Oryctolagus cuniculus: one gene and its partners. The protein of the gene in region 6 purifies or fractionates together with the protein of the main gene of each other region. This does not show direct contact. Links are inferred from orthologs where the notes say so. Each region holds a gene or a part of one and is shown on either strand. Other genes may lie near its edges. The genes, in order: CEP170, IRF2BP2, TBL1XR1, HSF1, HSF2, BAG2 and SGTA.

The links.
Region 1: the proteins of BAG2 (region 6) and CEP170 purify together in Homo sapiens (affinity purification with mass spectrometry; 3 studies listed by BioGRID and IntAct, with this or other methods). This does not show direct contact. The link is inferred for Oryctolagus cuniculus from reciprocal best matches to the Homo sapiens genes BAG2 and CEP170.
Region 2: the proteins of BAG2 (region 6) and IRF2BP2 purify together in Homo sapiens (affinity purification with mass spectrometry; 3 studies listed by BioGRID and IntAct, with this or other methods). This does not show direct contact. The link is inferred for Oryctolagus cuniculus from reciprocal best matches to the Homo sapiens genes BAG2 and IRF2BP2.
Region 3: the proteins of BAG2 (region 6) and TBL1XR1 purify together in Homo sapiens (affinity purification with mass spectrometry; 3 studies listed by BioGRID and IntAct, with this or other methods). This does not show direct contact. The link is inferred for Oryctolagus cuniculus from reciprocal best matches to the Homo sapiens genes BAG2 and TBL1XR1.
Region 4: the proteins of BAG2 (region 6) and HSF1 purify together in Homo sapiens (affinity purification with mass spectrometry; 3 studies listed by BioGRID and IntAct, with this or other methods). This does not show direct contact. The link is inferred for Oryctolagus cuniculus from reciprocal best matches to the Homo sapiens genes BAG2 and HSF1.
Region 5: the proteins of BAG2 (region 6) and HSF2 purify together in Homo sapiens (affinity purification with mass spectrometry; 4 studies listed by BioGRID and IntAct, with this or other methods). This does not show direct contact. The link is inferred for Oryctolagus cuniculus from reciprocal best matches to the Homo sapiens genes BAG2 and HSF2.
Region 7: the proteins of BAG2 (region 6) and SGTA purify together in Homo sapiens (affinity purification with mass spectrometry; 3 studies listed by BioGRID and IntAct, with this or other methods). This does not show direct contact. The link is inferred for Oryctolagus cuniculus from reciprocal best matches to the Homo sapiens genes BAG2 and SGTA.

Annotation. Positions count from the first base shown.
Region 1 is NC_091444.1:63,134,528-63,138,027, forward strand, and holds part of CEP170 (centrosomal protein of 170 kDa), read right to left. Parts: intron 3,388-3,500; coding exon 3,294-3,387; intron 2,405-3,293; coding exon 2,353-2,404; intron 420-2,352; coding exon 130-419; 3' UTR 1-129.
Region 2 is NC_091444.1:53,903,439-53,905,719, forward strand, and holds part of IRF2BP2 (interferon regulatory factor 2-binding protein 2), read right to left. Parts: coding exon 2,001-2,281; 3' UTR 1-2,000. UniProt on the Homo sapiens protein: Acts as a transcriptional corepressor in a IRF2-dependent manner; this repression is not mediated by histone deacetylase activities. Represses the NFAT1-dependent transactivation of NFAT-responsive promoters.
Region 3 is NC_091435.1:102,883,226-102,886,725, reverse strand, and holds part of TBL1XR1 (F-box-like/WD repeat-containing protein TBL1XR1), read right to left. Parts: intron 3,111-3,500; coding exon 2,989-3,110; intron 2,857-2,988; coding exon 2,782-2,856; intron 159-2,781; coding exon 31-158; intron 1-30. UniProt on the Homo sapiens protein: F-box-like protein involved in the recruitment of the ubiquitin/19S proteasome complex to nuclear receptor-regulated transcription units. Plays an essential role in transcription activation mediated by nuclear receptors.
Region 4 is NC_091437.1:168,064,930-168,068,429, reverse strand, and holds part of HSF1 (heat shock factor protein 1), read right to left. Parts: intron 257-3,500; coding exon 148-256; intron 1-147. UniProt on the Homo sapiens protein: Functions as a stress-inducible and DNA-binding transcription factor that plays a central role in the transcriptional activation of the heat shock response (HSR), leading to the expression of a large class of molecular chaperones, heat shock proteins (HSPs), that protect cells from cellular insult damage.
Region 5 is NC_091436.1:47,729,752-47,733,816, reverse strand, and holds the start of HSF2 (heat shock factor protein 2), read left to right. Parts: upstream 1-1,265; 5' UTR 1,266-1,439; coding exon 1,440-1,532; intron 1,533-4,065. UniProt on the Homo sapiens protein: DNA-binding protein that specifically binds heat shock promoter elements (HSE) and activates transcription. In higher eukaryotes, HSF is unable to bind to the HSE unless the cells are heat shocked.
Region 6 is NC_091436.1:112,404,903-112,408,873, forward strand, and holds the start of BAG2 (BAG family molecular chaperone regulator 2), read right to left. Parts: upstream 2,801-3,971; 5' UTR 2,639-2,800; coding exon 2,526-2,638; intron 1-2,525. UniProt on the Homo sapiens protein: Co-chaperone for HSP70 and HSC70 chaperone proteins. Acts as a nucleotide-exchange factor (NEF) promoting the release of ADP from the HSP70 and HSC70 proteins thereby triggering client/substrate protein release.
Region 7 is NC_091447.1:59,207,068-59,211,233, forward strand, and holds the start of SGTA (small glutamine-rich tetratricopeptide repeat-containing protein alpha), read right to left. Parts: upstream 2,801-4,166; 5' UTR 2,662-2,800; intron 2,595-2,661; exon of another isoform or gene 2,573-2,594; intron 1-2,572. UniProt on the Homo sapiens protein: Co-chaperone that binds misfolded and hydrophobic patches-containing client proteins in the cytosol. Mediates their targeting to the endoplasmic reticulum but also regulates their sorting to the proteasome when targeting fails.

The DNA of each region.
Region 1 (3,500 bases), on a different chromosome or scaffold from region 6:
TAACAAAATTGTAGTTTGACCAAGCTGTCTTGTTTTGTGTAAGTCAACACTATGCTGCCTCCAATATTCCTAGTTAATCCACAGGTAATTTTTTTTTTTTTTTTTTTTTTGTTAACAATCAAGAGAAAGTCATTCCTGAACTGTAACATCTTCCTCTTCCCCTTCAGGGTTGAATCTGTTGAAATGTATACTGAAATCAGCCTCAGATTCGGCATTTTCAAATTCAGCTGAGGCTGAAATAGCAGCAGGATGAAGAACCCTTGCTTCTGGCTGGCAAAGTGTTGGTGTCTGACCAGGGCTGCCGTGGTTATTCACAGGACTAGATTTCTGTTTTGGTGGAGATGGCAAGATAGCACTGGGAAATCCCATGTTGTTCAGAGCCTCCAAAGTTCCATCTGGGTCAATCATAGCATTGATTGCTGAAGGAAAGGAAAAGGAGCAGAGGTATAATTAAAATGTAAAAGGAATAGGACATAACTGTAAATGCAGCTAAATTTGAATATGAACATTAGTTAGTTTGGACAGTTTAACTATCAGTGTGTTTGTGTGATTTTAAATGAGGCAAATCCTTCCAACAACATTGTACTTAAACCTCACTCTTAATATCGATCTATATTGTAGATTAAACAATCCCGAATACTTTCTCTGATGAGTCACTTATGGACATTCTAGAGAGTAAGACTGGTATTTGGAGATGTGGAATTCAGTAGATATCTTTTTGAAATTTGTTTTCATTATTGTGAGAAGATAATAAAATGTTAGTTAATTTTTAATAAACACCCCTAGCCCTATTTATCAGAGAATTGTGGGTTTACAGCTAAGGTTCAGAATATCCTCAAGGCTGGTGAGGTCAGAAGAACATAACATACTTTTATTTTTAGCATAGCATGTTGTCATAGATCCTGTTGGAGTGCTAGGATATCAACTGTATCGTGTACCACTGACCTATAATGGTCCATGCATAACCAATATCCCAGGGCAGCCCCAGCAGGCCAAAGAGACCTTGCTATGTCCACGGAAGGAGCCAGTTAAAGACCAGTTTTTAATACAAAAGTTCTTTATGTGGACAAGGAAAGTTCTCTGTGATTTTCACCTTGATACTGGACAGAACAGGAAGTTGGGAGAAGGAGGCACTATAGTTCCAAGAATCATTTAGGGGTTCCTTTTAAAAGTATACCCCCATTCTATCAGCTCATAGACTGTGTTAGCAAGCCACTTTTACTTATGGCATAACCCTTGGGTGTGTAGGGTTGAATAAAGGTTAGGAATCACTGAGGTGGGATCTACATATTATGCCTACAATTATTCAACAAATAAATACTGGGAGGAATTAACAGTTGACTCAGTCCTGCTTGTTTGCCACTGGGGATGTTCTGGGTCAAGAGACACACAGACATTAATGCATGATTTGGATTTTCAAAGAATTAAAACAAAGTCTGTCAAAATTTAGGAGGCAAACAGAGTCTGTTTCACTTTCTTCTCCCCTTCTTTTGGTCTTTAAAGCTATCATGCACTTCTTTTTTATGGTCCATTGAAGCAACTATTATTTGTATTAGAATATAAGTTTATTTGAGGTTATACTACCAATATAAATTAAGAATTATCAAATCAAATAAATAATGCTAATTAGCAAGTCATTTAAGCTGTATATATATATATATACACATCATTATTTTATATATTTATATAATATATATAATAATGTAATTAGTTTGTAACACTTAGCCTATTGTCAAATCTACACTCTAAAATATGCCCAAGATTTAACTTTAATTTTTTATATTAGGTTTGTACAATTTCCTTTTCAAGAGTAATCTGAGAGGCTGGAGTTGTGGCACAACAAGTTAAGCCACTGCCTGTGATGCCAGCATCCCATATGAGAGCCAGATTTGAGTCCCAGCTGCTCAACTTCTGATCCAGCTCCCTAATGCACCTTGGAAAGTAGCAGAAGATGCCCCAAGTACTCAGGCCCCTGCATCCCACGTGAGACCCAGATGAACTTCCTGGCTCTTGGCTTCAGCCTGGCCCAGTCCTAGCCATTGCACCCATGTGGGAGACCCGGAGGAAGCTCCTGGCTCCTGGCTTTGGATTGGCGCAGCTTCAGCCGTTGCAGCCATTTGGGGAGTGACCCAGCAGAGGGAAGACCTCTCTCTCAATCTCTCCACCCCTCTGTGACTGTCTTTCAAATATATAAGTAAATCTTTAAAAAATAAGTGATCTGGATATGTAGAACTCCATACTTATTACATGACATTATATTTAATCAAATAAAATGAATATTTTAAGAGAACGCCATTAGAATGCACTTATCCTAAAATGACAGCTCTCTACTCAATTCAGTAGTAAATTTACCTTGTAGCTGCTTTTCAACTCTTTTCAGCTCCTGTAAAATAGAAGAAATCTCCTGCAGGGAAAGCAATAACAAAAATTAGCTTACTTTAATTAAAACATTTTGATTTGACAAGTAATGAATCTCACTCTCATTTTATTTGGAGCATTTAACATTTTCTATTTGATTTACTACTTTAGTAGCAGCATGGTATGAAATGATGACATCCAGTAAATAAGACAAATTTTAAAAATCTTTAATAATGAAATGAGTAACTTTTTTCAATGAGGTAATGATAGCAGATGAAGAGTTCAAGATAATTTACTGCAGGCTGAGTATCTCTGGTCCAAATACTGGAAATATGAAATGACTGGAAATTCTGGTAAAGTCTATGCAGTATCCCAAAATCCAAAAATGCTGAAATATGAAATGCTGCTGGTATCAAGCATTTCAGATAAGGGATATCTAACCTGTACTATATAAAGAAAGATTCTGAAATATTTGTATTGATCAACATTGCAGTAACTCTGACACAGTACTTAAAGGTTTTCTTTGTAAAAATATATGAACTGCAATCTTAATACTAGGACTACATTCTGAGCATTGAAAATCTGTACAAATTCTTTAAAAAGAAGGCAAGCACTATAGTAAGTAAATGGAAACAATTCATGTAAACTTGATATTTAAGTTCAGTTCTTATTTCAAAACTGAATATTTTTAAGGTACAGTTATTACAAGAACAAGAATATGTAATAGTGAGAAATATAAAAATCCCCTCTCCATGCCCCTAGCAACTTGGAAACAGTCAACATTTGGGACTCTTGTGAGATCAGCTGAAGGAAATCTGTGTATCTACATATTCTTTTACAAGTAAATCAATAAATAGCTTAAAAATAAGTATGCTATCTTTCCATTAATATAAAACTCTATTAAAATGGTTTAATCTTCAAGAAAATTATCATACCATGCTTGAGGTTTTCACAATAGGAACTTCACTTTCAGCTCTTAACTTGCTTTCTATTTCATCCCAATTCCGATCTTTGTCTTTAAATAATATTCTAGAATTTGCAAAAAATAAACACTTTATTTTCATATTTTAAAATTTACTGTATTTCTGTTAATGATAACACCAAATACAATGTATCTTTTCAAAGCTATACAAGGAAAAATA
Region 2 (2,281 bases), on a different chromosome or scaffold from region 6:
ACACACTTACACAACAGACCATGACAGTTGAATTCTTTACAAATGTCTTTACGGGTATGTAAAACTGACTCTGTGTTTTTGCATGTGTGTATTCACATAAAAGAGACCAGTCTGATCTGAATCATATATACTCCAATTTTAAAAACAGAAGGTGTAACAACAAACTGGCTACTCATGCAAGTCTGTCTGTTAATATAACAATGACCGGTAACATGAATTTGCACGGCATCAATAGGTGCACTCATTAAAAACACTACGAGAAAATACTGTATTTGGTGCAGTATCTGATTTGCAAGTGTTAGTAACTTGACCATTAAAAAATATTTTAGCAAATTAAAAAAAAAAGATAAACATGTAACTAAAAAAGAACTCAAGGTTTGTAATAATAACCTGTTTTCAACTTGAAACAGAAGTTAGTCTCTGAATGATACACATAAACTGTAGTAGACCTAGAAACCATGATCCAGCCTAATTAGAAGGCCAAGTTACAAACACCTGAACCTAAGGATTTAAGTGTTCCTGTCAATGTTAAATCATAACAGCACAAAAGAAAAACCAGTATCACTGTGAGACAACTATTTCTAGTAACTGATGATTTATTGGTTTAAAAAATCATTTTACTGATGCAAAATAGTGATCAAAAGAAATTAGTTTACAAAAGGCTTCTAAAAATAGTTTGAGAGGTGGGGCCTGTCTATTATGTAAAAACCCTTAATTTCTTTCATTTTCACTAGTTTATCACTTTTTCCCCCAGAACAGTATTATTCAGTTGATATTTCAAATACATGTAAGAAGGAAATTACAGGCTTCCTCCACCCACATTCGGGCTGTCACTGATATGCCCACGGGCAGTCCTGGCAGCACCACGGCGGCTGTTACTGTCATTGTACCATACTGTATTTAGCACTCACTAGAAACAGGGTGTAGGTGATAGTATCAACAGCAATAGCACTACAGGTAAATGATAAAAAAACAAAACAAAACACAAAACAGAAACAAAACCAATCCCACAATCTCCAAGTTCACCTGGACTGTAACTTCTCTCAGGACTCCTTCAAAGGAAACAACAGCAACAACAAACAGAGCTCTAGGGTGTTTAGAGATGAAGTGGCGCTGCAGAGCCAGGCTCTGCTCAAAGATGGCAGTGCCATCTTGTGCACACCACCATCCATTCTAACCGCCTCCCATCACTGGAACTGTGTATTATGTAACCAACTAGCATGCAGCATTGTAATCTTACAACTGATCACGTGGACAGTGAACAGCGGTCAACTTTGCCTTAAAAAAAAAAAAAAAAAAAAAAAAAAAAAAAAAAAAACTACCCCTCACCCCCAAAAGCCACACAATCCTAAAAATCTCTCAGCAACACCTCTCAGACTGTCATCGATATCCCAAGAACTGAACTTTAAGAACAAAACAGAGAGATTAAAAATCCATTTGCCTATTCCTCTGAGAGGACGACGTTTTGGGGTAACCTGGTGATGTTTCCAGTGGCATGCCCACTTGCCAACAGTGCCCCTTTCATCACTCATCTCCTTTCCTTCTCCACCAACTGGCCTCCGGCCTGAGAAGGGGGCCAGCAATAAGGAATAACAGACAGTAAGGCAATCTTACAATGTCAGAAAATGTATTTGGCTTTTTTTTTTCTTTTTAAAATAAGTGCATACAAATACAGCTAGAAGCATTTCTGATTTGCCAAGTGCTCTAAAAAAGCAGCGCGCAAGTCACAGCCTACATAGAACGGTAACTGTCACCAGGATAATAAAGCACAAAGATATGCTAATAACGTTAACAAAAGAAGAAAATGCCTTTATAAGTACATACCTTTTGTCGTCAAAAAAATATAGAAACACAATGTATTCAAAAAAATCAAAATTATACAGCCATGTTTATGAAGTCTACATTTCCCTTGTCTTGGATATATATATATATGGAGATATATATACAATTCAAGCAGTTTTAGTTAAGGATAATCATTGGGTTTTTCTGAAACCGAAAAGTCACGAGTCTCTCTCTTTTTTCACTTTCACATCTCCAGCAAGGATGGTTGCAATTTCCCCCTGCATAAAGGCCCAGGGGACATTGGAGCCCACAAGAGGGCATTTTTCCCCACTGGGACAATAGACCTCTCCACTAGCTCCCTGCTGTTTGATGCTTTGTCTGGAGCAAGGGAAGCAGAACTTGTGCGAAGGGACGGACGGGCACTGCACAAAGTGGGTGTCCTCCAGCCGCTCGTGGCAGAGGGTACAGCACAGCGGGGCACTGGCTGCCAAAGAGGAGT
Region 3 (3,500 bases), on a different chromosome or scaffold from region 6:
AGGAAGAGTAAAACAGAAATATCGTATCACCTTGCTAACATAAGGTTGGCATTTGGATTATTCGTCCCTGGTCCAGTTGGACTCCATTTGATAGTATAAATCTCTTTATTATGTGCTTGCAAATCATGGACACAATTGTCTTGCTTCATACTCCATATCTAAACAAAAAAGAAAATGTATATAATTATGGTTCAGTATAATGAGTACATTCAAAATATACTATCTTGCCAGCCCAAAATATGAGTGATAGAACCAAAATTAAGGGAATATTTGTAATTTAAATACAGAATATATTTAATATTTTTGGAATAAATGATATTATCTTTGTCGCCTTCAAAAATATTCACTATTGTAAGGTTTGAAGACTGAATTATAGTTTTTTTCCATGATTACTTCTGGTAGATTAAAAAGTTGCAAAGTTCAACATCAAAATGTTAAAGGGACTGCTTTGATGCTGTCCCTTAAATAACAGACATTATATATTGCTCTTAGAATTAACTAGCCGGAAATTACTTTCTGTAATGAAGTGAAAATAAGTAAACAGCTTACAAAATAATGTGATGACTCGAACAGAACAAGTGATGAAAACACATGCAATAGAGCTAAAGTAGTAGAGAATAAGCTTCTGCTGAGGTGAAAAATGCTATGTTCAGGTTAAAAAATCTGCATTAATTATGAGCAAAAATTAATAGAAACCTACATCCAGAGTATTTTTGGATGTATCAATATAGACTTGAAAGGTGGAATGGGGGAAACACATAAGATGTCTTGACAAACACAAGCACATCAACTCCAACAGCAGAAGGGAAACAAAAGTTAGCTGGACTTCATACTCCTACAATAAAACTAACAAAAAATAATGGGGTACTATCATAGTGTTTTTGCAGTTCAGGCATTTATAACCCCATGTAAATGAACTCAAAAGATGTTTTTCCAGAACAAATTTCGTTAGACTTCCTTCCAATGGCATTTGATACTGTTGGCCACTCCCATCCAGTGTCTCTGTGAAGTACTTTTCTCTACACATTCTCTCTCTTTTCCACTTTGGTCACTCCTCAGTCTCTGGAAGCTTAGGTAGGTGTTTTGTAATGAGAGAATCAGACCCATGAAGCCTCTCCATCTGCATTACTCCGACATTATTAAAATTCAATATGATCTTCTCACTCAATTAGGTATTCCCTGTTCTCAGAAAATGGCCCTCTTACAGCTTGCCCATCCACCTAGTTTTTGTTTTAAAATCCTATGTGACCTTTATTTATTCTTAAGATGCAGAAAAGCTCTCTTAAAATTTCAAGTTCCAATCTATCTCTGCAGCTGCAACTCAATCCATGACATAAGGCTCAACGAGCACCGGCTTCCATTTCCTTGTATATCATATGCTTTTCTACAAATTTTTCATTTTATAAGTACTAATATATGTACATACAAGGAAAACTCCAAAATAAAAGCATTAAGAAAAGCCTTTTTACTAGCAATGCTCCTAAGGGAGCCAGCACTTGAGAACTATCTGACTGAACAAACAGCAGGTACTTAGGGTAAAAAAAATCCAGAGAGTTCCCAAGGTTACATTCAGTCCATTCATGGTAGGAGGAAAAGCAGTTTTCCCTCAAGATTATTTTATCTGTAAAGGTTATCACATCTGCAGTCTGGTATCACAAAGTCAAAGATAAAACTGTTTTCAGTAGAGTTATCTGTTACAGAAGAGAACTGCAGGCTTCATTTATTTTGGAGATTAGTAGTTGGCTGGTTTTTTACTTCAAAATTCTTTTTCCCTAACTGTGGTACAATGTGCTTAGATGAAAGGTAGCAACAGTTTTGCTTTCAGTCAGACAAGAAAAAAATAATAAATGCAGGTTAAAACGTGGCTGCTGGCATGTAGGCTTGCTCAGTCACTCAGAGACTCCCAACTCATTTCTATCAGTTTCCCAGCCAGGGAGATACAAATTCACATCACAACAAAAGCAAATTGATACAATTCACAGAATTTCAGATAAATTCACAAATGCTTCAAAGATCTTAAATATTTGTCAGTCAGATCTTCACATGTGAAAATAAACTTTAATTGAACCAATACATAGTGTTACATTTCTTACTGCCTGTGAGGGTTAATTTTATAAGTCAACTTGAGAAAGTCATAGAGAACTCAGAGATTTAACTAAACATTATTTCTGTGTGGTTTTGTGAGGGTGTTTATGGATGAGACTGGGTTTTGATCACTAGACTAAGTAAGGCAGACTACCCTCTCTCCAGTGTAGCTGGGTATGATCAGATGCAGAGAGGTCCGGAACAAACCAGAACGGCAGCCTGACCACTGAGCTAGGATACTGGGCTTCCAGGGACTGGAACTTAACCACTGGTATTCCTGACCCCTAGGCCATGGATCCTGCCTGGAGTTTCACCAGCAGTTTTCTGAGTCTTTAGTTGGCAAACAGCAGAACATGCATGTGATTATCAGCGACCATAACCTTGTGAGCCAATTGTTCACAAATCTCTTACGATGGATTGATTGGTCTGTCCCCTCTATGGGTTCTATGTCTCTGGAGAATGCTGATTAATATGCCATCATAACTGTATGACTATTAATACAATGTATTTGCTATATTCAAGTAATTCTATATATCCCAGAAAAGAAAATTAAAGTACGCAAAACAATAATTAATCATTAGAGAGCAGGAAAAGTTCTCACCAAGGCTTAAACATACAATGTAAGAAATATTCTAAACAGTCAAAGCAGGCACACTGTGTGACACTCCCATCGCATCCCCATTAAACATTAATTACCTTCAAAGTCATGTCATCAGAGCAGGAGGCCAGGAGATTGCCAGTTGGGTCCCATTTGATAGCATTTACTTCATTCTAAAAATAAATATTCACATTTTCATTTGCTAGATTGGGTTACTGTGCAGATATTAAACAGAAACATGTCAAAATTATTCTGAAATATCACTTGTCATAATCCCTGTAACAGGGAGGGAAAAGGTTTCTTACCGTATGTCCCTGGAATGTTTTAATAGGTCTGTCTTGTCCTAATTTACAGACATGAATGCACATATCCGTACTACATGAAGCAAAGGTGTTGTTGCTCTGCCAATCAACATCCAATGCTGGTGCTGGAAAGGAACAAAGTTGAAGTTTGCATTTATTCCACATATACTGAAGTCCAGAAGCTTTAGCTTTGAACCATAGTTAAGACATTAAGCATGCTACGTGGTACCTAACATTTTGATACTTTTTAAGATACTAAGAAAAAATATTTATTTTTAAAATAAAACTATCAAACTATCATAAGCATTACTTTCCATTTAGTTATCTCTATATGAGATGCACCCTAACAGAAAACACACTGACCTACTTAATTGGGAGACTGGGGTTCCTGAGTGTTTGCTCTATAAATTACTAGCACCAAAACTTGGGTGCTGCTTTGCAAAATGGTAAGATTAAAAGTGATGGGGCTGGCATTATGGTGTAGTGGGTAGAGCCACCGACTGCAGTGCTGACAT
Region 4 (3,500 bases), on a different chromosome or scaffold from region 6:
TGGTCTCCCAGCTCCTGGCTCCGGCCCCTCCCACAAGGACCCTTCCCCCAGGAAGGGACCTCCCCCCCAGCCCGGGCTGCTGGCCTTCACATCCTGCACTGGTCAACCCAGAGTCCGTCCTTTGGCCGGGGCCCGGCAGGCACTCACACATGTTGAGCTGCCGCACGAAGCTGGCCATGTTGCTGTGCTTGAAGTACTTGGGCAGCACCTCCTTGGCAAACTGGCCCTGGTCGAACACGTGGAAGCTGTTGCCGCTCTGGCAGGAGACACGGGGTGGTCACACGTGGCAGCATGGGCCAGGCAGCATGGCTGCAGCCCTTCCCCGCCAGCTCTGTGATGCGCCCTCCCACCCCATGGGGTGGGGCTATGGAGGGGCTCGGGGGGAGGGGTACGGCAGGAGGAGGAACCGTCTCCCGGGGACCGGCAGACACATATGCACTGTACATGCCCCATGATGTGAGGCACCGGGCCGTGTGGCCAGAAACGGGGCCCTCACCCAGGCCCCACCTGGGATGAGAAGAGCCACACCTTCAGGCCCACGTGCTGGGGGCCGGCACTGAGCAAGCCCGATTCCCGTCGGAGGGGAGGGAACGCAGCCCCAGCCCCTGGCACAGACGGTGGCGGGGTGCGCTGCCCCTCTGTCCTCCTGAGCGCAGCCCAGGCACCAGGAGGAAGGTCTGGCACAGCGTCTGTGCTGGGAGCAGCTGTGGGGGCTCCGACGGGGCAGAGTCCACACAGTGGGGAGCAGGAGCAGGCAGGGACCGGGAAGAACCAAGGGCCTGTGGTTCTGGACAGGAACTGGAGCTGCTTTTGAACTCCAGAGAGAAGGAAAACGACACGGCAAGGGGCGTGCAAGAGACGGAGGAAGGGACCCGAAGCAGCAGGGAGAGCCCCGCGGCCGACGCCCCCAGAATCCAACTTGCGGAGGGGACACTTCTTCCCCAGCGACAGCAGCGAGCCTCCCTCCACCCCTGCAGCTGGGCATGGCAGGTGGGGCTGGGGCGCGTCTCTGCTGCCTGTCCCATTGCACAGGGGCTCCCCCAGGGCAGGTCTACGGCAGCATCCAGACGACAGAGGCAGAGACAGCTGTCCCATCTGCTGATTCACCCCCAAATGCTTGCCGCGAGCTGGCGGAGACCAGGTGACAGGAGCTCAAGCCAGGTCTCCCAGGTGGGCAGTGGCCTCCCACCGTTCACGCTAGCAGGAAGCTGGGGTCAGGCGCCAGAGCCTCTGCCATGGGATGGAGGTGTCTGAGCCTCTAGGCCGCACGCCTGCCCCCAGAGGCAGCTGTCAACAAAGCTTGCTGGGGGAGACAGAGCACCAAGCAGAGGAGGCAGGCAGGAGACAAGGAGAGGCTCCAGACACCTACGGGGGCCTGGACGCCAGGGCAGGTACCCAGGGCGTGCACTGGAAACCTTGCGGGCTCCGAGGAGGCAGGCAGGGAAGGAGGTGTGGAGAGGCTCCCAGGAAAGCCCGAGGCTGGCGGGCCCCAGCACCGAGACCACGCCCTCTCCTACAAGGGAGCCGAGGAGGTCAGATGATCAGAGCTGTGAGAGGCGAAGCCCCTTCCTCAGACCCTGCCTGGGCCACAGGACGCAGCGCGGGGCTGCACAGAATCAGCGACCACAACTCCAGGGAGGATGTCTCACTGTCTCATCTCCAGAGCCGCCCCATCAGGCCCAGCAACAGCCAGTTTCCAGCAAGCAAGCAAGCGAGAAGGGGTGGGTAGAGCCGCCGCCTGCAGTGCCGGCATCCCGTATGGGCGTCGGCTCAGGTCCCAGCTGCTCCACCTCCGGTCCAGCTGGGAAAGCAGTAGAGGATGGCCCAAGTCCTTGAGCCCCGGCACCCATGCGGGAGACCTGGAAGAAGCTCTTGGCTTGCAGCTCTGGCTGTGGCGGCCATCTGAGGAGTGAACCAGCAGATGGAAGACCTCTCTCTCTCTCTCTGTGGCTCTCAAGTAAATAAAAAATAAATCTTAAAAAAAAGAAAAGCAGAACAGAAAGTCCCCCACGCAGGAGCTGGCGCTTGGTGCAGCGGGCTAAGCTGCCACCTGGGACACTGCACCCACAGAAGCGCGGGGCCAAGTCCCGGCCGCTCCATGCAGGGCCCAGCGCCCTGCTGACTTGCCTGGCAGAGTGGGGGACAGGCTCCTGGCTCTGGCCCGGGCCACCTGGGGAGCGGATCTGCCAGCAGAGCCTGCTGGGGCTGAGGATTTCCTTGACGTGAGGCTCATACCAGGGACCTAACCCGTTTAAGCGTCGTGGGCGCTGGGCAGCTGGCTTGCGAGGACCTGGCCCACTTCACCTAGGGTGCGAATCCACATGCGTGCAGACGCAGTCTCCGGCCACAGCGGGGGTGCACTGGGGCCCCCCACGGCATCCTGCAGACCTGCAGATGAAGGGCTCCTGCCCAAGACTCGGGCCCGAGGACGTCACGGAGCAGCGGCAGCCTGAAGCTCCCTCCTCTGCTCGGCGGGTGACTGCACCCCTTCCCTCTGTCCCTGGGGCTCTGTGCTCTAACTCAGAGCGATGCCTGGAATCCGGTGACCCATCGCACTACTTCACAGAACCCTCACAGCCGTGAGCCTGACACGAGGAGAGAGGCTCTGGGCCCGCTGCCTCCTCCAGCCGGGCTGTCCACCCGGCCCAGAGCTGGACAGAGCCTCAGGAGACGGCGGGGACGGGAGGCTGACGTGGGCTTGGGCCCAGGACCTGAGAGGTGAAGCCCGCCTCCGGGCACCAGCTCCAGTTCCACGCAGCTTCCTAACGCACCTGGGCGCGCTGCCACTCACGGGGGAGACCCGGATGGAGCTCTGGGCTCCTGGCTTCGTCTGGCTCAGCCCCGGCTGTTGGGGGCATTTGGGCAGTAAACTGGTGGAGAGAAGCTCTCTCTCTCTACTGCTGTACCTTCCAAGTAGATGAAAATAAGGAAACTTTTTTTTTTTTAAAGTGCATTCTGGAAAAAACCCAGACATCGGGTGTGGGGAGGGCACGAGGCTGCAGGGCTGAGGCGAGGCGGTGCCAGGATCGCAGTCTACGCAGAGGGGCCGCAGCAGTTCTGAGCCAGCAGGAACGGGGGAGATGGCATGGGTCCTTGAACTCATCCTTCCCCAAGTCTTGTTTCTTCCTTCCTTCTTTTAAAAGAATGGTTGTTTCTATTTATCTATTTTTATTTATTTATTTTTTTGACAGGCAGAGTGGACAGTGAGAGAGAAAGAGACAGAGAGAAAGGTCTTTCTTTGCTGTTGGTTCATCCCCCAATGGCCGCTGCAGCTGGCGCACTGTGCTGATCCGAAGGCAGGAGCCAGGTACTTATCCTGGTCTCCCATGGGGTGCAGGACCCAAGCACTTGGGCCATCCTCCACTGCACTCCCGGGCCACAGCAGAGAGCTGGCCTGGAAGAGGGGCAACCGGGACAGAATCCGGAACCCCGACCGGGACTAGAACCTGGTGTGCCGGCGCTGCAAGGCGGAGGATTAGCCTAGTGAGCCGCGGTGCCGG
Region 5 (4,065 bases), about 65 Mb from region 6:
GAAGATTGAATGATATAAGTTTACATACATTAGTTGCTGTATCACATATATCCCTCTATCTTCAGCAAAAAGCCTAATGCTGAACATAATGGCTCTATTCAATAAATATTTTCACATTAGAATTTCTGTATATTCTATTTATTAAAGTATTATTTTACATAGATCCAGGAAATAAACCAATCCTAGGCTGAATTTTGCATAAAACTGTCATTTCCAGCTTGTGTACATATTTTTATTTTAGTATTTTTATTTACTATGCATGCAAATGTCCATGGTCTGCACTAAGATCTACTCACTCGTTGTCTAATATTTCCCCACTATAGCAATCTATCTAAGCAAATAAGACTACATTTGTAAAGTACATCCAAGAAAAATTTTTTTTGCAGAAACGCTTTTAGTCCAGAAGTTAAGATGCCGGTGTTCCACATTAGAGTTCCTGGATTCTAAACCCAGCTACGGCCCCTGATTCCAGTTTCCTGCTAATGCAGATACTGGGAGACAGCAATGAGAGCTCAAGTAATTGAGTGCTTGCCACCAACAGAAGACCTACCGAGTTCGAGCTACGGCTTTTCTGTCCTGGCCAATGCAGGCATTTGGGAGTGAACCAGAGGACTGAAGCCCTCTCTTTCTGCCTCTCATTATTAAAGAATCTCAAAACGAACAGTTATTTAATTAAAATAGTATAAATAGGAATAATTCTTTTTATGCTGGGCATATAGTAGGCACTTGCTGGGCGAATTAGCAACGTGATTACAGTTCCTGGCTTTAAAATAATACATATTCATTAATGAGTTATCTAAACTGTTCTTTTTGATGAAACAGGCTATTTTCGTTAAGTTTCATTTCAGGGCCTACCATATCACGCCTGAGGGCTGCTCTCTCCTTCCCCGCCCCACGAATTATTTCTTCCGCTACACTGGCGTAAACCACACCTTGTCTTCCAAACCTATGACTCAAAAGCCTCCAAAGACTTCTGTAGCCTCCAGCCACAACCTACCAAACCGAAGCTACCTCCACGTGAAACAACCAAACACTGCCTTCCGAGCCCTAACTCCGATACAGCGAAGGCTCCCGTATAAAAGGCGAATAAGAAGGCAGCGCCCCCTTTTGCTCCCACCCCTCCAAGACTCGGCACCCAATCACCTTTCAGTGTGGTGCGGCTGGCGTCTGGGATTGGCCAGGAACTGGACCAGCGCGCGCCCGGTGCGGCAGGCGGAGCACAGGGAGCCCTGTCCGTCACGTGCGGCCGCCCGGCTTCCCGGCTTCGCAGCGCGCCTGGCGGGGCTTGGGGGGGCGGGGCCCGACAGCTGCTGCGCCTGCGTTGTGGGCGTTCTCCGGGAGCAGCTGCCGTCGCCGCCGCCACCGTCGCCACCGTCGCCGCCGCCTTTGCTACCGCTGCGTTCGGGTGTAGAATTTGGAATCCCTGCACCTCGTTAACAATGAAGCAGAGTTCGAACGTGCCGGCTTTTCTCAGCAAGCTGTGGACGCTTGTGGAGGAAACCCACACTAACGAGTTCATCACCTGGAGCCAGGTAGGGTCGGGGCACGGCGGCCTCCGAACCCCTGAACTAACCGTCTCTCCCCTGTCGCTCTCTGCCGCGGGATTGTCTCTCGCGGCCTGCGGCTGGGTGCTCTCGGCCGGGCGCGCGGGTGGCGGTGTGACGCGGGGCCTTGGCGTTCGGCCTCGCCGGGGACCCCCTGTATTGTTCGCGCGGGGAGCCGCGGGGGCCGGGCCGGCGCCGCGCGTCTCAGGCCGCGGTGGGGGAGGGGCGGCGCGCGGGGCGGCGCGGCGCAGGCGGCCCCGTAACGGTCCGGCCCGGTCAGCGTTCGGAACCAGCCTGGCAGAGCCAGGCAGTCGACGAGCGGCGGGCGCGGAAGCCACGTTATTGCACACTCATCCTCCGCGCGGGGAACGAATCGGGAGGGGAGCGGGAGCCCCGGGCCGGTGTCGTCCACGCGGGGGTTTGTTGGAGGAAATCTTTACCCTGGTGACCCGATTCTACACACGGGCGCGCGCTGCACACACGCACTCAGCTTTGTATCTGGGATTTTTGATGAGGAGGGCAATCAGGGAAGTGGGCATGTGTTCAAACGCATGTTAGTTTATCCGTAGGTTTTTAAAAATATTACGTAGAAAATGACAGACTAGGCTTTGGAGATTGTGAGCCATTTATATAAATGGATTTTTATGATCATTGTGTTAAAAGTGCTAATAGACAGGTGTTCGGTAGCTTAGTAGCTAAAATGAATCACTGAATTTCACTAGTTACCAGCGAGTGGTATATAGATGCTCTGATTGCTGGTTTGATCCCAACTCTGCTTCTAAATAAAGGTGACCTTAGTTGAGCCCCTGATCTTGTCTTGCCTAAGTTTCATCGTCAAAACGTCCATAGGTTGCCTAGGTGACCTCAGGATTCCCTCCTACTTCCAATTACAAAGATTCTAAGAATGATTATATCTTATAATGCGTTTGCATTATGATACTTCTAGGCTGTTGGAATAATTTTTTTTTTTAAAGGGACTGGGTTCTTTTATTGTGGAGGAGTCCTTGGTGGTGGTGGTGGGGGTATTTTCATCTATGGAGTTCTTGAGAAGTGAAAACTACCTGCATAATGCTTGGCACCTGTTAAGTGCTGAGTAAATGTTATCTACCCTCCTCCCTTTGATTTCTCTCCTTTTCCTGTTACAAGGAACTTTCAGTTTTATGTCTTAACAGGGAGCACAATATTGAGTACATGAAGTTTTGATGGCTTTTAACACTGTATATTGTCATTTGTTCATTCTTTTTTAACTTTAAAGTCTTAATTTTCATGTGATCAGTGTTATCAAGTGGGTTATCTTTTTACTCAGACATAACCTCACCCCCCAGCTATGTGTGTATTGAGTTGATGAGTTCTGTACAGTTGATCAAAGAAAGGTGAAAATAAGGGAGCCAGCCACTAGCTTGTCCTTAAAATAAACAGATGTCTCATGCTTTTCATCACTCAGAAGGATTAAAACTTGACAAGGATGGATCGGCACAGACTTACTCAGCCACGTATTCATGTTAGAGATTGACTAAGAGTCTCTCCTCACTCCACTGACTTTATCAAACCTTTTTAGCCTGGATGGATCATCTTGTTTTTATTGACTAGAAATGGTCCTTAGATATATTGATAATTGGTTTTGATGTCAATGATAGATCCCATGAATTCTAGTAGCCAAAATATTTGATCAATAATCCTACTTTCTGGGCAGTATCAAGTACAGGGCATTTTATACCAATCTGCATTATTTTATGAATTGTAAGCCAAACAAGTTATTCCTTTCTCACCCCATTGTTAAGTCTAATCATATGTTTTAAACTACCCATTTTCTAATATGCCAACAGGACAATCAAAATGTAAAACTCAGGTCAGTATGCCAGAGATACAGATGTTTAATAAATGTTTAATGAATCAGTGAAATCCCTGGAAAATACAGTGGGGGTAGTAGGAATGATAAAAGTAAGATTGTTTTTGAAAAAAATGTTAGAGATCATCTAGTTTTAGTCTCATCCTTGTATAGATAAGGATTTGAGAGTTGGACAGGATAGGTTACTAGTCCTTAATTACTAGCCAAGATTGTATAAGGGACTCTGACATAGATTTCTCAGCTTCTAAGTCAGTCTCACACCTTAAGCATTAAACTTAACACAGCTTGGCACCATGTTTAGTTTTATACCAAGATGTTGCCCTCCACAAGTTGGAATAGTTCTGGGGCCAGGCCTAGGTGGTTATAGCAACTGTCTTGCTTTTGCTCTTCCACAGATTTTTCTGGAAGCAGTGCAAGGTAAAACTTTAATTAAACAAGGATGTTAGGTGGAAAAAGAATAAGTTACTCTCAGGTTTTAAAAGTTGCTATTTATGGTTGTTTCTGGTTTTCTTCAAACTTGTTGTGAACTTCTGTTGAGGTAATTTAGTATTATCTGAGTGAAAATCGTATTAAGACCTTTTAGAAGAAGCAGATGTTTTGGGAACCAGTTTTTTATGCATTTTTTTAACTGGTAGAAAATAATTTATTCCTCTAGCTTGAGTATAAAGCAAG
Region 6 (3,971 bases):
TGGTGGTATGACCTTGGATGAGTCTTTAGTTTCTAAGCCTCAGTTTCTCATCTGTAGAGTGCAGATTACAGTAATTTCCACACAGATATGGAGCCTGACATGTAAGCTGTATTATTTATAAATGATAAATGTCTAAAAAGATAATTAGCAGAGTAGCTTGAGCTATTGACAAATGTAAAATTATATTCCATTCAGAAATCATGAAAACCAGGAGAGAAAGGAACTGCCTCTTTGGGGACGCAATCTGGAGACAAAATGCAGTCAAAAAAGCAAGGCTTGTGTAACAATCAAGTATCAGAAACAAACTGAAGAAGACTGCCAAACATTTTACAGCATTTTAAGCATCAGGAAGGCCAAATATTCCAGGTCATCAAGCACTGGGTATAATCCTGTTTTTGGTTTCAGAGGGAAGAAGTTTCCTTCCCAAACATCAAACTAGCATTAGAGAACAGTACATGCATACTTCTAAGTACAAGCTAAAATGCCTCACTCTACTAACATAACTACTTTATTAGTGTTACTTAATATGACCTCAAACGATGAGAATAAATTATATATGAATTTCATGTTTGAAAACTCGACCTCCCTCTAGGCACGATTCTAGTTTTCACTGGTACAATGCTCTGCACATTGCCTGCATGGTATCATCCAAACTTCAGTTAGGATCAGCAGTAGCATTTTTCTCTATTTTTGCGAACCTTCTGAAACACTTGTTTAGTTTTCAGTATTACTCTTTTTAAAAGGAAGAAACAAAACTCTAGAATTATTCGAGAAGCCCTTGAAATGAACAATTAACACACATATTAATCAGACTTTCCTCCTTCAGCCCAAGTGGTAATTAAGCAACTTGTAATTTAATCACTTATGTGCAGTAATCAGAATTCATTTGACATTCACCAAATATCAGAAATACAGTAATACCCCAAATCAGAGGCCTTGTTTTAGAAGAGGAGCACTTGACTGCTTTTGTGCCTACCACATGTGAGGACAATGACTCAGCTTGTCATTGGAAGGAAGGAAGGAAGGAAGGAGGGGGAACATGCTCCTCATTCCTATAAGAGAAAACCTGTTCTCTCTGACTGGGGGAGAGAGGCTAGTAGAGAACGCCTGGAGAGAAGTCTAAGGTACTTACTAAGCTGCTACACAAAAGAAATCCCATTCCTTAGAGGGGCTTGGAGTAGCTGAGGCCACTGTAGTTTCACTCCACTTTCTCTGGGTGTTGAACCCAGGTTTGCTGATTCTGTGGCAATCCATAAGGAAGCATTGCTTCTCTCTTCAACTTGTCGCACCCTAAGTGAACCCCAGTACCTGGCTTAGGGCCCAGGTGGCTCTGTTGCCATCCCTGGAATTGTGAGTGGAGAATTTCACACTTTCTGGCGATTTCCTCCCAGTAGTAATAGCGAATCTTTTTTTACTAGCAGACACTGTGGTTACTGGTATCTTTTCTGGGCAAACAGACACTTCTTCATGTTTTGCTATATTAATGGAGGGAGAGAAGGACACACAATACAGCACTGTTTACACTTTGGGGCTTCCACACTCCTTTGCGCCTTCAGAGCTTGGCAGAAACTACTGAACCAAATCCTATGTACAGTGTCAGGGGGCTATGCGTGTCTCAAGATTTTCACCTAACTATACCTGCACACAACCACAACGCAGACACTAACTTCAGACACAAATGTTCATAGATAGTACATATACGTTTTTATACACTGTTAAAGGAAAAAGCCATTTCCAAAACTTATTACTACTTAGACATTCTATACAAGCCTATCACTATCTTACTTACTTAAAACTGTCATCAAGGGAAAAAGGAAAAACTGTTGACTATCTTTTCATGCTTTCGGGCCAGTGACTAGCACTTTTAAGGTCTCAGCAGCATCTTTTATGTAAGGTAATAAATATTAAGAAAATAAATACTGGAACACAGTATGTGGGCTTAGGAGAGCAAAGGCAGCCATAATGTCTTTAATCCACGAGGTACAGGACCCAGTTACTGTTCCTCCTACAGCCCCTCCCTTGGCCTACTGCTCTACAATTTTTGCTCTTAGATGCATTCCTGGGGTCCCCCCCCTTTCTGCTCTGAAGTGCTTTGGAACAAGAAAACTTCACGGGGGGTGGGGTGGGGTGGGGAGAACACTTTAATCTTTTTCCCTTAACTCGCAACCTTGGGGGGGGGGGGCTTAAAGATCTTTGGGACCCCAGAGAAGGTTCTGGAAATAATCTCCATTACCATCACCCTAACTTTTATCTTCTCTGGGTATTCGCTAAAACACACAGGTGTGTTCACGTGTCCATCAATAACGTGCTCACAGGTTAGCTGGGACGGAACGCGTTTTCTCTCAGCGAGGAGAGGAAAACCTGCCAGGACACAAAACCGCACCGCCTCCATCCACACCACCCCAACAAGCAACTTCTCTCGCCGCCGCTTGCCCCAGGCGGGGCCTCCGCCCGCCGGCCGCCCACGCGGCGAGCAGGACGCCCGAGCCCGCCGCGTGCCCCTCGCCGGCCCGCCGGCCGCTCACCTGAGCTCGAGCTGGTCCAGACTCTCCAGCAGGCGGCTGGAGCGGTCGGCCATGGAGGAGGAGCGGCAGAAGCGCCCCTCGTTGGCTTTGGCGTTAATCTTCGCCTGAGCCATCTGAGCCTCTGAGGCGGGGCGGCCGAGAGGTCACCGGCCTCTCCCGCGGTGGCGAGTGGAGCGCTCCCGGGCCGCAGGCGTCGCCGTCACCGCGCGGGGCGCCCGCCTCTCTCTGACGCCCGCGGGGGCGGCTCGCGAGGACGCGCCGACTCCGCCGCGGCTGCGTGGCCAAAGAAGGGCAGGCGCGGCGCGCGCGGGCTGGGGGTGGCGGGGCCTGGAGGGGGCTAGCTGGCCGCAAAAGCTCGAGGGTGGGCCTCAGGAGCTAAGGCCTCCGAGACTCTGGGATGGGAGGACCCAAAAAGGGGAGCACCTAACGTAGTCGGCTGCTCTCTGCTCCTGGAACAACCCGAAATCGGCGCGGAGACCCAGCGAACACCCAAGCCCCGACTCTTGGTGCAGCATAAAAGTAGCCAACTCCCCCTATGCGGAGTTACCATACCACACGGTGGGCAGGCTGTGGGTGCATGGCTCACCGATGGTTTCGTTTACTTCCTTTCAGCACCCAGAATTCAAAGCAAGAACGAAAAAACATTCAGGTTTCTGCCGACAGGGAGAAAAGGTCCCTTTGCAAAGCAGAAGACATAGAAGGACACCGCCTCCTCGGCAGTCTGTACTTGACCAAGTCACTTTTCTGAGAATAACAGCCTGGACCACACTGACGCTACTGAGAAAGAATGAAGCAGCTATCCCGTCTTTGCCTGTCTAGCTCCAGATGCGAAGCAAAGTGAATTTAATTCCCACACATTCCAAGAAAGGGAATTTCACTTTTATGCCTACAAAAATTTTTTCTGGTATTTTAAATAGTTGGTAATGGTCACTTCACACCCAACGTATTAAATCTGTTAACGACAACAACAAAAATCCAGTAAATATCAGTAAAAGATGGAGCAGGGCCGCTGTATTTAAAATATTGTGCTTTGCTCCGCTCTCAGGATAGCTCACGTTACAAGAATGTTCGTATTGCAAGTATGAAAACTGAAGGCATGGAAATGGTAATAACAGCTTTGAAGCTGAATCACAACCTTTCATCAGTGACCATCACCACTTAAATACTTTAGCAGAGAGGGAACTCTTAAGCCTGGATCCCAATTCCATCTGTACTCATTCTAAATACTAGTAAGCTTTTGGTATAGGGTGTTATTTGACCGATCTCATTAAACATATTTTTGCCAAACATTAAACTCGATATCCCAACACATTTTGTGAATGGCTTGATGTCTCTCAAGAGACTTTAGATTCACCTTGGACTTTCTCTCATGTCCTAGATCCAGTCCATCAGTAATCACATGAATGCTACCTTCACAGTATGTCCAAGATTCTTCCCTCAGCTCCA
Region 7 (4,166 bases), on a different chromosome or scaffold from region 6:
CCAGCCCCAGCTGAGCGCCACTGGCCAGAGAAGAGAGGCCGCCCGTCAGCGAGGGTCAGCGAGGCGCGCCCGCCGCCCGAGGACCCCTATCCGGGGGAGGGCGGGACCCGGGACTCAGTGCACACCCGCCAGGCTGGCCGAGCAGGCGGCCAGCGCCGCCCCCGGTGCCCGCGGAACAATGGCAGCCTGTGGGCTCTGGCCGGGGGCAGCGGGGTGGGGGGGACGGCACGCAGTGGCGGCCACGCCTCCTCCAAAGGCCACCGCGAGGCCTGGGCTGGGGCGCGGAGGCAGAGGCCAGGGTGGGCCGCCGGGTCCCAGAGACGGGTCCCGCGTGGGCTGCTCCGAGCCCCCTTCCGCTGACTCTACCCCCCATCCTGCCGCCAGAACCCGGACACGGCAGCCGCCGCTCGCTGCCCCCCTCCCCTGCAGTGCTGAGCGCGGGGACCCCCGTGGACTCGTGGCCCCGCCCCTCCGCCACCCTGGAGGCGTAGCCACGCCCCGCGGGAGCCCCGCTGTGTTCCCGGGAGGCAGCGGTGCCTCCGCGCGGAGTGCGGGCAGACGCGGGGTCCTCCCGGGGGCTCCGGGCGCCACCCAGTCCCGCAGCGTCCCCAGGAGAGAAACCCGGGCGTCCGCACGCTCCAGCCGCAGCCCCCCGAGCTCTGGCGACGCCCCCGCCGTCCCACGGGCCGGAACCCCTGCACCTGCTCCGTCCAAACCTGGGAGCTCCCGGGAGGTCTCCTGGGTCCCCCACGCCTGCCTGCCTCCCCCACTCGGGCCGGGCCGGGCACGAGTGCGGCTGCAGCTCCCCAGGGGCCCGGGCTGGGCAGAGCAGTCCCCGCGGGGGTCACTCGCCCTCCCAGGAACCCTCATATCCTTGGGCCAGAGGTCACGACACTGCGGTTCCAGCCTCGGCCGGAGGGTGCCCGAGGGAGGAGCGTGGCCATGGGGGGGCGGATTCTGTTCACAAAAACTGTGGCTCCCGGGCCTGCTCAGCCTCCGGGCTGGTGGCGACCAGGCTCCCCATTACACAGAAAGACGGACACGGCCCGGAGCCCCGAACCCAGGCAGGCGGGCTCGGAGCCGCCACTCCCATGGGCCCGTCTTCCCCCTCCGCATAAACCCGCACACACCCTGAGCACCAGGGAGGCTCGGGGCCACCCCCAGGCTATGCCCTGGGCACCGCAAGACGGCACACGGGGTGCACCCCCTGCCCCGGCACCACGCATGGCCCCCCCCAAAACGACCCCGGGACAGGCTGACACCCCAGCTCCCAGGGGGACGCAGGACAACCCCCCACCCCAACATCGGACCAGGACGAGACGTCGCCCACGCGCTCCGGGCACCCGCCGAGGCGCGCTCCCCCTCCGACGGCGCGGGCGGCAGCGTCCAAGCGACCCCGGGCTCAGAGAGCTCGGAGGGGGAAGGGTCTGCCCGGGCAGCGCAGCGCCGGAGGGAGGCGGTGGGCTTGCCCGCCCGCCCCCGGCCCGGTGTCCACGGTGCCTCCTGCCCGCCGCGCCCCCGGCCCGGCCTCCCCGGTGCCCGCCGCGCCCCCGGCCTGGTGTCCACGGTGCCCGCTGCCCGCCGCGCCCCCGGCCCGGCCTCCCCGGTGCCCGCCCCACCCCCGCCCCGGTGTCCACGGTGCCCGCTGCCCGCCGCGCCCCCGGCCTGGTGTCCACGGTGCCCGCTGCCCGCCGCGCCCCCGGCCTGGTGTCCACGGTGCCCGCTGCCCGCCCGCCCCCGGCCTGGTGTCCACGGTGCCCGCTGCCCGCCCGCCCCCGGCCTGGTGTCCACGGTGTCTGCTGCCCGCCCCGCCCCCGGCCCGGTGTCCACGGTGCCCGCTGCCCGCCGCGCCCCCGGCCCGGTGTCCCCGGTGTCCATGGTGCCTCCTGCCCGCCGCGCCCCCGGCCCGGTGTCCCCGGTGTCCATGGTGCCTCCTGCCCGCCGCGCCCCCGGCCCGGCCTCCCCGCTGCCCGCCGCGCCCCCGCCCCCGGCCCGGTGTCCACGGTGTCTGCTGCCCGCCCCGCCCCCGGCCATGCCTCCCCGGTGACTACGGTGCCCGCCCCGCCCCTGCCCCGGTGTCCACGGTGCCTGCTGCCCGCCCCGCCCCCGGCCCGGTGTCCACCGCGCCCCCGCCCCTGCCCCGGTGTCCACGGTGCCCGCCCCGCCCCCGGCCATGCCTTCCCGGTGCCCGCCGCGCCCCCGCCCCCGGCCTGGCGTCCACGGTGCCCGCTGCCCGCCGCGCCCCGCGGCTCTCGCCCGCCTCCCGGGCAGGGGCTGCGACCACGCCGGGTTTCACGGCCCTGAACACCAAGAGGCTGGCCAAGGTCAGCCGCACACAGAGGGACGCCAGCCCCGACCGGACGTCCAGCAATCGGGGTCCCCGGGCCACTGGAGGGCCGGCTCCCCGGCCGCGGGCGCTCACTCCGCGCGGGGCGCTCTGCCTCCGCCGGCCCGCGGGCCCACGTTGCTGGGGCCGGGATCCCCGGAGACAGGCGAGGACCCTCCAAGCCATGCCCGACGCCGCCCGCTCGCAGGACCGCGGGAGTGGAGGAGACCCCGACCCCAGACTCACCTCCTCTTACGGGCTCCGGGGCCCCGTGAGACCCGAGCCGTGGACCCCTCCCCAGGCCCACCGGGAGGACGGCGGGGCCCCCCACTCACCTCTCCAGCGACCGAGCCCGGACCCTCCGACGGCTGCGCCTGCGCACCGCGGCGCCGCCGGCCCCGCCCCCCGGGGACGACGCACGCGCAGAAGGAGCAGGGCCTCGGGTTGCCTTCCTTCTGCGCAGGCGCGTCCGTGATCGAGGCGGGCGCGGGCGGAAGTGATGCAGTTGAGAGGCGGGAACCAGCTGGTCGTTAGGGCAACTGACCTCTGCGACCTCAGGGGGGCCGGAAGTCGCGCCTGACTGGCTCGCTAGAGCGGGCGTGGCGAGGAGCATGCTGGGACGGTGGAGGACTCCGGCGGGCGCCCCGCGCTGACCACGTGGTGCTGCCGGCTCGGGGCGCCAGGCGCGCGCGGAGGCCTCAGGGACCCCGCGCCTGGAAGTCGCTGCGGGGCGCGCAGCGTCCTCCTGCACTCGTTCGCCCACCCACTCACTCGTTCGTTCAATCCCGGGCCCCGCTGGACGGCCTGGCCGGGGGTCAGCGGTGTTGAATCCCGGGCCCCGCTGGACGGCCTGGCCGGGGGTCAGCGGTGTGCAATCCCGGGCCCCGCTGGACGGCCTGGCCGGGGGTCAGCGGTGTGCAATCCCGGGCCCCGCTGGACGGCCTGGCCGGGGGTCAGCGGTGTGCAATCCCGGGCCCCGCTGGACGGCCTGGCCGGGGGTCGGCGGTGTGCAATCCCGGGCCCCGCTGGACGGCCTGGCCGGGGGTCAGCGGTGTTGAATCCCGGGCCCCGCTGGATGGCCTGGCCTGGCCGGGGGTCGGCGGTGTGCAATCCCGGGCCCCGCTTGACGGCCTGGCCGGGGGTCAGCGGTGTTGAATCCCGGGCCCCGCTGGACGGCCTGGCCGGGGGTCAGCGGTGTTGAATCCCGGGCCCCGCTGGACGGCCTGGGCGGGGGTCAGCGGTGTGCAATCCCGGGCCCCGCTGGACGGCCTGGCCGGGGGTCAGCGGTGTGCAATCCCGGGCCCCGCTGGTCGGCCGGGGCGGGGGTCAGCGGTGTGCAATCCCGGGCCCCGCTGGACGGCCTGGCCGGGGCGGGGGTCGGCGGTGTTCAATCCCGGGCCCCCCTGGACGGCCTGGCCGGGGGTCGGCGGTGTGCAATCCCGGGCCCCCCTGGACGGCCTGGCCGGGGGTCGGCGGTGTTGAATCCCGGGCCCCGCTGGACGGCCTGGCCGGGGGTCGGCGGTGTGCAATCCCGGGGCCCTCTGGACGGCCTGGCCGGGGGTCGGCGGTGTTGAATCCCGGGCCCCGCTGGACGGCCTGGGCGGGGGTCAGCAGTGTTAATCCCGGGCCCCGCTGGACGGCCTGGCCGGGGGTCGGCGGTGTGCAATCCCGGGCCCCCCTGGACGGCCTGGCCGGGGGTCGGCGGTGTGCAATCCCGGGCCCCCCTGGACGGCCTGGCCGGGGCGGGGGTTGGCGAGTTGAATCCCGGGTCCCGCTGGACGGCCTGGGCGGGGGTCAGCGGTGTTGAATCCCGGGCCCCTCTGGACGGCCTGGCCGGGGG